3 linked regions of the Bombyx mori genome follow. The main gene of each other region encodes a partner of the protein of the gene in region 3 in a complex. Links are inferred from orthologs where the notes say so. Each region holds a gene or a part of one and is shown on either strand. Other genes may lie near its edges. The genes, in order: DNA polymerase alpha catalytic subunit, DNA primase small subunit and DNA polymerase alpha subunit B.

Evidence for each region.
Region 1: DNA polymerase alpha subunit B (region 3) and DNA polymerase alpha catalytic subunit share a complex: the UniProt entries of both Drosophila melanogaster proteins name them as parts of the alpha DNA polymerase complex. The link is inferred for Bombyx mori from reciprocal best matches to the Drosophila melanogaster genes PolA2 and PolA1.
Region 2: DNA polymerase alpha subunit B (region 3) and DNA primase small subunit share a complex: the UniProt entries of both Drosophila melanogaster proteins name them as parts of the alpha DNA polymerase complex. The link is inferred for Bombyx mori from reciprocal best matches to the Drosophila melanogaster genes PolA2 and Prim1.

Annotation. Positions count from the first base shown.
Region 1 is NC_085121.1:13,176,961-13,181,087, reverse strand, and holds the start of DNA polymerase alpha catalytic subunit, read right to left. Parts: upstream 2,812-4,127; 5' UTR 2,634-2,811; coding exon 2,618-2,633; intron 2,532-2,617; coding exon 2,334-2,531; intron 2,057-2,333; coding exon 1,875-2,056; intron 1,392-1,874; coding exon 1,182-1,391; intron 554-1,181; coding exon 494-553; intron 90-493; coding exon 1-89. UniProt on the Drosophila melanogaster protein: Catalytic subunit of the DNA polymerase alpha complex (also known as the alpha DNA polymerase-primase complex) which plays an essential role in the initiation of DNA synthesis.
Region 2 is NC_085116.1:10,063,870-10,067,955, reverse strand, and holds the start of DNA primase small subunit, read right to left. Parts: upstream 2,867-4,086; 5' UTR 2,713-2,866; coding exon 2,710-2,712; intron 2,642-2,709; exon of another isoform or gene 2,641-2,641; coding exon 2,384-2,640; intron 2,246-2,383; coding exon 2,076-2,245; intron 1,709-2,075; coding exon 1,510-1,708; intron 790-1,509; coding exon 582-789; intron 369-581; coding exon 1-368. Other genes in the region: uncharacterized protein LOC101739672, read left to right, coding at 3,610-3,661, 3,808-4,011. UniProt on the Drosophila melanogaster protein: Catalytic subunit of the DNA primase complex and component of the DNA polymerase alpha complex (also known as the alpha DNA polymerase-primase complex) which play an essential role in the initiation of DNA synthesis.
Region 3 is NC_085131.1:8,410,516-8,414,819, forward strand, and holds the start of DNA polymerase alpha subunit B, read right to left. Parts: upstream 2,867-4,304; 5' UTR 2,789-2,866; coding exon 2,713-2,788; intron 2,602-2,712; coding exon 2,349-2,601; intron 2,195-2,348; coding exon 2,149-2,194; intron 1,951-2,148; exon of another isoform or gene 1,874-1,950; intron 1,691-1,873; exon of another isoform or gene 1,611-1,690; intron 1-1,610. UniProt on the Drosophila melanogaster protein: Accessory subunit of the DNA polymerase alpha complex (also known as the alpha DNA polymerase-primase complex) which plays an essential role in the initiation of DNA synthesis.

The sequences.
Region 1 (4,127 bases), on a different chromosome or scaffold from region 3:
TCATTAAGTTCTTGCTTGATTTCTTTTTCAATGTTCCATTCTGGTTTCTTGATTTTCTTATTTGCAGGTTCATTTACCACATGATTTATCTGTGAGGTTAAAATAATATATTTGTTAATATTTGTAGGCTGTGGCTGTTACACTTTATTTAAACAAAAACAAACTTTACATGTAATAAATTATAGAATAGAGTTAATAGAATGATTGTTGTCTCCATGTTATTATCGAAGGTTTTATGGAATTACTAAGGAGTTGTTTCTTCTATAGCACTGGATATCATCTGGCTCTCTCTCACCCTCCATGCTAACCGGATTGCTATGATGTTCTATTTTAAACAAGGTTCGAAAAGTGTCCACAGGAGATTGGCTATGTGTAGCTCTGGTATTGCTGATGTCTACAAGGGGCAGAAACCACTAATCATTAGGTAGGTAATCTGTCATCATCAATAATATCAAGGATATTTAAAATACAATTAAAAAATATTTAACTTTACCATATTTACCATATTTTTTTCACACTGTACTGCAGATGTGTCTGGCTCAATACTTTCAGTCTGAAATAATAACAAGTTTTAGCTTGCTGTTGCAAATTATTTTAGTAATGTAACATCTGTTTTGTGTAGAGAGAACGATTTTCAATGGGTACATTCTGCATAAATACATTTCGTTATATATTTTCGACGACCTTTTAATGCGAAGTTTACTTTTCAAATTGTGTTACATGAATAAATTACTATTCAGTATCAGCTACTACAACATTTATACTTTTATAAATAATTATCCAATCAGGTTACAGGAAAAGCACAGAAGACTTAAATTTAGAACCAATACGTAACTAATTTAGGTATCGTCAAAACGCTATTTCGACAAAGCGGCGGGATATGATAATTCTCTTATTCTGGTCACTGCTAATTACATACTTTTTACATATCTTTGACATTTTTTGCTCTTCAAGCACCGGACCTAGTCGAACTCGTCGATAACGACAACCGAATTAACCAGTGACACAGCTGGCTGAGTTTCTTGCTAGATCTTCTCAATAGGTCGTGATTCTGATCTAGTGGTGAATTCTGCCAAGAACTGCTCGCGCTAAGGCTAGTGTTGGCAAATTCTCCAAGTATTTGGAATAGCCCCTTAGACTAACAGTTAATAACTCGATACAAATGAAAAAATGATACATGCCTCCTTTTCTTCCTTGAATGTTTTTAGTACAGAAGGTTTCTTGACGTTAGCAGAAAGACTTTTGAAGTAGTTTTGTGCATCTCTCTTACTTGTATCCACAATGTTAGTTTTAGTTATAGGCAGTGTAGATTTTACTACATTTGATGCAGTGTTAGCATCCAAATCAGATATAATATCAGATAAAATATTATCTTCTGAAATCTTTACATCCTGAAAGAAAGAAAAACAACATATTAAATTACTAATAAAAAATTAAGTTAGGATTCAAACATTACCAAGTTGCCAATTATTTGATAATATGTGCAATTAAACAGGGAATTTAGTTTAGAGAAGTAGTCAAAGTTGCTCAAGTACCAAATTAAATTAACCCTGTTTTTACTAGGATTACAGGTTATAAAAATATTTTTTTTTATTAATCTTTATTTCAGAAATATAAGGTTGGATCTATATTATGCAAAAAATTATTAAGTTTTTGCACTTTTCTCTTGGAATCTAGACTATAATTATATTTGTCATAGTCTGTAACTCTATAGAAGACTATAGTTTTTATATTTTTCCTAAAATTATCAGAAGGATGTCCCCGATACATAAGAACTAATTAGTACTTAAAATATCCTATCTAAAACATTATAATCATAGATATCAATGGATTGCATTCTTAAATATAAATTAAATAAATGAAATATAACAAACCTCTTTTTTCTTACTAGGCATGTTACCAATTAAGTTTCGTATATTCCCTTTTCCTGAGGACTGTGCTGCAACTTTGGCCTTCCTTTTCTGTCCTCTGCCTGTATCTTTACTATTTGTTGCTTCATAAGCATCATCATCATCATCAAATATCTCCCTTCCATCTTCAACATAGCCAGTACCATCTAAAAAGTTTGTTACATTAGTTGAATCTTCTAATACATATTTTTCACTCGTTAAGTATAGCCAGTATTGAAAACAAACATTACTGTGTCACTAATGCACATTTAATTTACAGAATGGATGTTTTCTCACTTGAAAATTTCAATTCGGTTTGTAGTCACTTTAAACATTTAATAAATAAGGATTTTGAAAATTTATATGTGAAACTTTTTTGAAAAGTCTAGTTAATATTATTAGTTGAAACTAAAAATTATGTACTGATTTGTAATATGGATTTACCATCTTCTATCCAATCGTCTTCTTGTCGCTGTAGAACTCTTTCTGTGTATTCTTTCTCGTCAACAGTGTCGTACACATTCTCAAGCACATCCACATCGTACTTATGCTTTACACCTTTCCCTTTTAATTGTTTTAGCTTCTCAAACGCCGAGAATCGACCGTGTCGGTCTGTTTTTTGTCGCTTCGCACGCTGAGCAGCTACAAACAGTAAATACATTTTGTTAAATGTTCAAGGAGTTTCGAAACTAAATGCATCCTAGATACAGACTTAAGTATTGCAGTACCTATTGAATCGGCCATTCTCTTTTAATAGCTTTTCTTTTGTACACATATATAAGTTTAAAACAATTTACATTTACAAGAAACACTAATATTTTGATTAGGTTAAATTCTTTTTAGATATTTTGGCGCGTATCCACTTTGAAAGCCTTCAGCTGTGATTGACATTTGATATTTGTATTCCGTTTTGCAACAGAAAGGGCGAGGATATCATACTATACAGTCGAATCTCTTTTCTAAATTAATTAATTAAAGTCTTCATGTTCTACTAAAGGATAAGGTATATGGTGTGAAATTTGCATGTCGTAGATTTCGTTTTTGCCCTTTTTTAGAAGACTTTTAATATGCGAGTTGTTCCCTTTACCTATCCATTTAGAAATAAAAATCTTCTTAGTTTCACAAATTTCGCGCCAATTTGTAACTGTCAAAAAACATTTGTTGTGATGCTTGTGATCGGTGCTGGTGATACATTTGTGATTAGTATTTGAAGACAGCAATTATTCGAATAACATATTTCTAACATAATGGCAATGCGTGATTACACTGCAGATAAAGGTACTTGAAGAAGATCGAGCATATTACCAAAATTATGAACGATTAAATAATTTCAATAAACCTTTACAGAATCTTTCAAGAACTTTTTCGTTGATTTTTGTCAAACTGATGATGAAGGAAAAAAGTATTTTAAATATGCTGAACAACTTACTAAAGTTGCACACAGAGAACAGGTAAGATTGTTCGGTTCATAATAATAATAAAAATACAATGCTATGTTGAGGTTAGGGTAGTTGTAGTTTCTAGTTCTTTGAATGATATAATAATATAATTTCACTTATTTTATTGCTGGGACAATTTTTCCAGTTTTACTATAAGGTATAATTGTTATCTTATTGTAAACTATCGCAGGATCAAGATAATGATTATTAGCAGATAATGAAGATTAGTTTATTTATGTGTATACAGTTATTAGGATAACAGAAAGTTAGGATTAAAAAAAATTATAGCTTGTTGTATGAATTATACTTTAAATTACCGAAATTTTTATGTAACTGAAATCAAACTAAACTAAACCTCAATACACATCATGACTGCCTGCTTAGGGCACACAGGAAGCAAGAAGACGTTAATAACAAAAACTAATTTTTTATTATAGATAGCATTTGAAGTTGACTTGGATGATTTACATGAGATGAATGAAGATTTGACTGAGGCAGTCAAACAAAATACCAGAAGATACACTAATATGGTGTCAGACGTGGTTTATGAAATGCTGCCTGATTACAAATTCAAAGAGGTAAGCATTGATATAATTATGCAAAGCTTAAAGATTGTAGCAAAAATGGGAAAAAGCAATTATACTAACAATAACAGAAAGCATTTATGTGCAAATTGCTGCGTAAATGTACATAATGTATGTGACCTTATAATTTCATTCATTGTATAAAATGAATAGAATATTTTTCATTACGTGTGTTGCACATTACAGTTGTGTTACACAAATATAAATAAAATGAA
Region 2 (4,086 bases), on a different chromosome or scaffold from region 3:
AAGATAACAAAAACTAAAATAGTCTTACTGGCATCACTGCGTTTTCTCATAGCTTCAGTTTTCTCCAAAGCGAATACAAGTTCTTGGAAAATTTTAACAGCCGCTTTCATATTAGTTTCATGTTGGTTATTTTCGGCGACACTATCATCTAATAAACTGTATATTGTTGGTATTTCATCGATCTTCAAATTCTTTGCATTTGCTGACTTGAAAACAACAGACACTTTTCCAGTTTTCGGATGTATACTGAATGGAGACTTGAGCAAGTGATTGAAACCTTTTGTCACATTAACATCTAATCTGGGGTAGCAATATTGAATTTTTATTTCTTCTATAAGATATTTTATTTTTCGTATAACATTTCCATTCTACAAATTGAAAAACATGACAAAATAGAGTCATACATATATATGCATATTTTTTAGGACACAACTTCTAATATGTAGGTTAATCTTGAACTGTATCCTTGGAAAAAAATTTAAGCAGTTTAAAAAACAAATGCCAACGACTTTTCAATGAATTTCTAATTTTTAATGAAGTACCAAATTTTTCTTTATGTCAAAATTTTATTATTTTTTTACCTCTCTGCAATAATTTTCATAAATATTTATAAAAGTGTTCCACTTATTCAATGATGGTTCCTGCATTTTTTTCAAAGTTGTTTCAACCTGTGATTTTAACGCATCATCTGGTATCAACTTCAAAAATGAGTTTAGCTTATCTGTTGCTAAAAATTCCTGATCTTGTAATAATTGTTCAAAGTATTTGTCTATTATATTTAAGGCACGCCTGGAACAAGTATTTAAATATACTATTTTTAATTTATTTATTACTTACACTTCATGTATTTTATATATTAGTAAACTTAATGCCTAACTCATTCTCCTTACGAAAATGAATATCAGATCGAACATGAAACGTGTAAATATACAAGGGAATGCGTAACTTCCTCAAGGGAGTGTTATATAAGTTATGTGTAGTATAAAATTATAAAGTGTAAAAGTTTATTAGTGAAAATGATAAGGACAGCGGTATTAAAATTATAAGTTTGGGGGTGATGTCTTACTGTATACACTTGTAAAGTATATAAAGGTATGTATATAAAAGGGACTTTGTGTCAAATCTAGTCCTGATCTTGATATGTGACATTATATCAAGGTAACATTCTAAGCATTCTAAATTCTGATTAGCATGACCAATGTAAATTATTTTCACATGTAACCAATAATAATACAGTGTTACATCATAATCACTTTTCCCTTAGCCTTAGTAATGATTTTTACTGGTCAAAACTCTGGTAATGTGCTCCAGCAGCTTATGAAAGAAAATAATAGTATTTTCTTATTAATCTTCTTTGGATGGGTAGATCGACTCATAAAAGTAATTTTTAATTTTGCGAGAAGTAATTAACAAAATTATTATCAACAAAATTATGATCATCTATCATTTTCAAAAAATATTTATGTAAATCTCATGTAAGAATATCAAATTAAAAAAAAATGATATAACCTTATACTGGAATGTAAGTTTTCATTGCCAAGATGCACTTTTTTACTTTGGTTTTCACCACCTACGATTAAACAAAGGTAATCGGCAATAGCTCCTCGACCTGGACTATCGAGAGTTCTGGCTTCATAATCTGATACCCAACAGTGAATACCACGCCGACCTGAAAATACCCACAGGATGCTTTGGAACCCGAAGTCATCTGAAATTAGTAAGTCAAGGATGTGAATTTGAATTCAATCAATCATTTTGTCAATTATAAGAATCATGAATCACTTGTATCATGAAAATAATACTATAGATGTGGATAATTGAAGTCAAAATCCATTCACTAGTGGAAATATATAAGTAACTAACTACTACAGTGTAAATATGTTTTGGTTTTCTTTTTTTTTTCTATTGGCCCACAAACATCCTCTGCTGGACATATGGTTTTGTAGTTTTTTTTCGCCACCCCAAGTATGCATGAGATAGGTTACATTTTAATGAGTGTGGTGTGGTAAATAAATATAGAAATATAGAAGAATCTTTAATGGTCTGTAGCTCAGTAAAGTAAATCATGTATTTACCTTTTAAAGCTTTATCAATGATTTCACATGCAATAACCATAAATTTCCAGCATTTTTCACACACTCTAGCTTCTTGACAACATGTTCTTATTTCATCATAGTCTGTTAAATCTATATCGAATACTAGTTCTCGCGATATCACTACAGCGTCATGTCTTCCTACAGAAGGCCTTAAATAACGGAAGAATACCAAGTGACAATAAAAGAGTGTAATATTGCTTTTTAAATGCTAATAAATGAAATTTACTTTATTAAATATTCAAGCATGATATTTTAACTTCATACAAACTTTTAGACATAAAACATACTTTGTGTTGTAAACTGCTCCAACATCCAATTTGTGTGGACATTTCTTTTGAAGAAGGGTTTGTAAATCCTTTTGATGCGAAATCGACAAATAACGGAGGTAGACATCGTCAGCTAAAGTAAATGATAATTCTCTGTTACAGAGCGGTTGAGGCGAACTACCGCATGCTAGCCATCTACAGAATATATTTTGCGGAAATTGCCTGGCATAGTAAGTGGGTAGCATATCAGATAGAATGTTTTCATTGTGTTCGCCAATCTGTACAATTAAATTGATATTAATCAGAAGTTTAGTTTTTTATTTAGATCAGTTTGAATTTGAACTTACCATTTTTACCAAAACAACAACTCCTATAATGACATTTTTTTTAGGGATTTCATGACCTGATAACTAATACCTTTAAGTCATGTCTTATTTTAATTTATATTCTTATTTTTATGAAAAATGATAACCAATATGGAGTGAAATGAAATGAAATGAAGATGATTAATTTGAGACATTAATCAACTGGGATGAAATTAAATGAAATGAGATGAGATGATATCTCTCTATCTATAATCTCAGTCATTTTACTGAGATTATATTTCATTCCATACCATCTCATCTCATTTCATTTAATTTCATCCCAGTTGATTAATGTCTCAAATTAATCATCTTCATTTCATTTCACTCCTTAATATCATTTTTCATAAACATAAGAATATAAATTAAAATAAGACATGACTTAAAAGTCTTAGTTACCAAGTCATTAAATCCTTTAATAAAAACTAATTAGGAATCCGAGACCGAAAATTTGTAGAATCGATTAAATGAGTCGTCTATTAACAAAGGCGGCAATCTGTACATTTGGACAAAAAATTTTTATTGATATGTCAATACAGATTTATTTGAATATAATCGTCTCTTTCAAAGAATACGGTTCAAAACCTGCATTAAATAAAGGTTAATAGTTAACCTGTTATTTATCTAAGATGTCGTTCCGAAGAGTTTTGTGACTGCCAATGGAATACAAAGTCAATAATTCGTTTTTCTGATTTACCAATCATTGTCCAAAAGTCAGATTGCCGCCTTTGATAATAGTCGACTCAAATGTAAAAAAAATTTTTTAACCTACCCGTAAACATTTTTCAACTACCTACCCTAAATTTTATTCAGCTTTGTGTGTGAATTGAATCTTGATTTAGTTATTGATGTCAAAACTGCTGAAATTCTGACTACTAAAACAATATGGAAATTAATAAAGACACCGCTTTTTTAATAGTAGTAAAAATGTCATTTCGTAAGTAGGAACATTAAAAAATAACCGTAAACCCTAATTTAATAAGTAATGGATCTTTTAAAATACTTTTCACATGTGTTTGTGGTTTAAACCACCAACAGTATTTACTTTAATTTACGAAAATAATTATTCGTCTATATTTTCAGGTTCACTGCACAATTCGTATTGCAAGACTTCGGAAAAATTTCTTAATGCATCAAAGGTATTGATCGAATCGTTGCTAAGAAAGCCATTGGCAATGACTTTAATAGCAGCCTGGTTATTAAATTTACTGCTTATATCTACGTTTTTTTCTGTAACTGTTATTTTGATGACCTCAACTATATTTCTAGTAATTGTATTTTTAGAAGGTAAGTTACTATACTACTAATATTAGATACTGAATATTAAAGAATTAAAAAAAAAAATATTAAAATTTCAGACAA
Region 3 (4,304 bases):
CGTACTGGAATTCTCGGGATACTTGTTTCGAATGACGTACAGTATTAGTAGTTTGGAAAGTTAAGCTAAGATGGCTTCTAAAATGTTGGTAGTCTTTAACAGAGAGAAACGATAGTTCAAGCTCGGGCTAATACTTCTTTTTGTAAAAGCATAGAGGCCCCGCGGATTAGTTTGCTCCTATATCTGTGCCGAGGTTCTTAAGTATCCACTTTTTTCGTTTAACCCAATACAGAAAAGAACAGTTTTGATCGTTTGCTCTATCTCAGTTCTTTTGTAGCCCCTGCATCTATGATTTTACTTTGATTCTTTCGGTATTTGTAGCGTATGAACCATGTGGAGTGGTCTAAGGAATATTCTGAGATGGCTCTGTCATCTCCTTAGTAAGGGAACGTACCCATAGTACGTGTCCCGTTTAGGGCGGGGAGCGGAGTCTTTAAAATACTACGGTCAGTCACAGGAGCGGGGGGGTGGCTCAGGTTTTTGTCACGTAGTCGATTTTAGTGAGAGAAATCTCGTATTTTTTCGACCTATATTTGAATATAGCGCACAGTGCTTAGCGCTTTGTAAACTCACACTACATAATTCACTAGTAATTTAAATGTGCATGCAGTCTTGTGCAATAAAGACGAGTATGAACCAATTTTTATTTTTTCAATTTTTGCCTATGTAATGATTAAAAATCATAATGAATTACTACGTGAAAACTAAAGGGGGAGAGGGGGGGGGTCTTGGCATATACTACGAGTGATCACCGTGGGGAGGGAGGTCGAAAAAACAAAAAAAATAGGTCACGTAGTATGGGTACGTTCCCTAACTGTACCACCCGCCGTCGGAACGGTTTGGTCATGTACCTACTTAGAACCACTCCATTCCTCCCTAATGCGATTCCAGTGATCATTATTGACACTTAAAATCTGGCTCTATAGTGAGTACCCCTCCTTGGCATTCTATGAGCGCTAGCGACATAGTTTTGTATTAAACATGTTTTGAAAAGTCCCAAGACCATACTTTCCCATACTTTTCTAATATTTGGGCAACAATGAACACTCAACATCAGGTGGAATATATGCACAGCTACCTCAAAAGCAGAAAAAAAGTGTAGGTACTCTCAAGCAACTGCATACCAAGAGCATATAACCACAGCCGTGTAGTCTCAATTGGTACATAATTAGCAGACTCTTTCACTGTTATTGTCTTTAATTTTAAAACTGAACTCAAACATAACCTTTATAAGAAATCAATTGTTAGATTAAACATTCACCGTTAATATTAATAAAAAATTAGATATATATTTGTGGCAACTAAGACTTACAAAAAATTATAAACAAGATAAACAATATTTGTACCGGACTGGTTGCAGTACAAATTTTCACATTTGTGAGATACTCATCGTTTTACAGTAGTTAGATTCAAACATTCAGCATTACTTATAGCTGGACTGTTTGATGGTTACCAGAATATACTATTAACATGCAAGTCATTTTTTTAACTTAGTTTAGTATTATTTTAATGCTTCTGTGTGATGTATTTCCAATTTTACAATAACAATATTTTATGTTAAATGTCTGTGATACAAATAGACTATAAAACTTACTCATAAGAAGAATGAGTTGATGGCTGCAGACGAGTATGGATCTAGTCATGATCAATATAAAACATGAACCAGAAGCAAACTCGCCCACAAATATCATCAAGTCACTGGTTGATTTTTAATACGCACATTCCATTTTAATTAGTTGTTATTTATCCACTTCCTTTCTTGATGCTTTGTTTGCAATAATGATTTCAAAATGCATTTATATTTAATTTGTAGGGTAGATTATGAAATGTATGTTTAAAATATTGATACAAGTCAGATGCTCTGAAGATGAATCCATAAGCACTCAATGAGTGTAGATCTAGTCACAGAATCAGCCCGGTGATACTAGACCTATACCCATTAACTACAAATGGAGAAAGATCCGTTTTTCTTCAAATACTCTTCATCAACTGAAAGATTTATTAACACATACACAAAATTCAGTATTAAGGTACTAACTGAGAATTAAGATTCATCGCTTAGAGATTTAGAAACAAAAAAACTACGTACATAACCTTGAAACGTTAACTCAAAACTAACACGAAGTTTATTAAAATCCAGTTACATACCTTGGGCGTTACGGCAACATAACTTGACAGTACTTCACTGTCTGGACTATATCAGTATAGGAAATGATTGCACAAAATTTTTGAAATAACGCTACTAACACAATAGTGTTTTAAGAAACATAATGAATATAAGAAGCACATTTCATAAAGTTATTTTCTAATATACTGCAAATTTCAACGTACTTTGTGTCAAAGGATACGGCGAAGTGGCTTTTGCTCCATAAACGGTAAGACTTTTACCGGCAGCTGGTCGTGTGGTTTCTTTAGCGGACGCGTTAGTTCGGCGCTTGGAAAATTCCTTTCTTACGAATAAATCTAAGTTTTCCAAGTTTGGTGAAGCACCGTTTACATAATTCAAACTGAATGCCATCCATTGTTCGATAAAAGTTTCAGCATCAATATTGTTCTCTTCACATAAATTTACACCTTTGGAAAAATGGTTCGTGAAACAACCTTGAACATGTTATTTGTCAATGTTTAATTACAATCACCATTGATAGAACTTATCGAGCACAGGTAACAGAAAAGACAAACCGTTTCTAACCGTTAAACAAGCTTACTTACATTTTAATAAAACATCTTGTTCAACGTTTATGCCAAAAAATTTAAATTGCTCAGTCACCAACTCTTCGGAGGCCATTTTCTGTAATTGAAAGAGCAAATGAAAGAAAAGGAAGCAAAAGAGCGCCAACGCCGATCCGAAAGTTTGCGTCAAAAAAGAGGTTGCCAGAAACGAAAATTTTTAAAACCTGCCATAGAACAGTCAAATCAGTCGTAACTTGTCTTGTCATTGTAAAGTAAATTTTTAATTTACGAATCAGTGACTTTGTGCTGCGTCGCAAAGATTTCTTTTACGTTTTTGTTTATAATGGTTTAATAAACAACTAACTTAACAAAATCAAAAAGCAAGAAACAATGTTCATTTGTTTTAAATTTAACAGTACCTACTTTAGGATATTATTTGTTTTTTACTAGAAAGAAACTCTTCCATAAACCGAATTAAATTCAATTTACCCCAGTTGAAGACCCGCTTCAAAGAGCTATGTTCTTCACTCACTTGTTGATTATTTCGCCTGAATTAGGTTCCGAGAAATATGGATGACCGATACATTGCCAATCCCTTCTGATTTTACCTGTTTATTAATACAAGCCATCAATAGGGCATATAACATGCTGGAACGCCAGAGTTAATGGTGATGATAGTGCAGGGGTAACCGTCAACGAAGAGCTCCAACCATTCTAAAGTACATTCGATGCGATTTCATGCCTCAAGGGTTCTTCTCGCTTCCCATTTCGCACTTCCCGACACTTCAGCTCCATCCAATATCCTGCCATTAATCATTGAAGCTTGCGTAGTGTAAAATCGGGTTAAAAATTCAGTAGATAGTAGGACTTGAAACGAATGGCTGGCGCCCACCCTCCTGATTATGTTTGCCATCAAACGTCCATTTTCCACTATCGGGTCGCCGAATTTCTGCCCCTTTCTGGTCTCCTTTTTTAATGCTTGTGACGTGTCTCAGTGGTTTCTGGAACTTACGGGGCAGACGTATTTGTGTGTCTATAAAGTGTGGTGAGTTTACGCAGAGACCAATACAGCCCATCGTTCGCAGGAAAGACCGATACCCTCCCGTGTCCATTAGTTCCTCACACAATCCATGACCAAGATTTTGCTATACCCCACCAATCTACTGCTGCTTCACAAGCAGCAATGCAGCAGCAAGCGACTTCAAGGGCAGTCATTGTACTATAGTGCACAATAATATAGGTAGTAGAACCGACTTGAAAACCACAACTCGATGTAGGCGTCATTTACGTTGTTGATGTCTAGAGACTCTGGTGACCGTTTAACACCAAGTCGGCCGTGAGCTCGGTCATTCGTCTAAGCAATAAAAATTAAAAACCATTGTCGCCTCGAAAACCGCGATTCTCGGTTCTTTGGCACCGTAGTGACCACGGGGGTTGTTTGTTTATTTTATACTCATATTTATGCCGGTTTTTCCAGGTCCCACGGTAGTAATGGGGTTTCTTCACTTATTTAAGTACGCACACCTTAATGACTGTAAATACGAATGGACTGTGTAAAAAACTGGTAAGTCAAAACGAAAAACAGTCAAACCCTGGAGATCAGTAGCGCTTTTTTTTTGGCTGATGGCCGA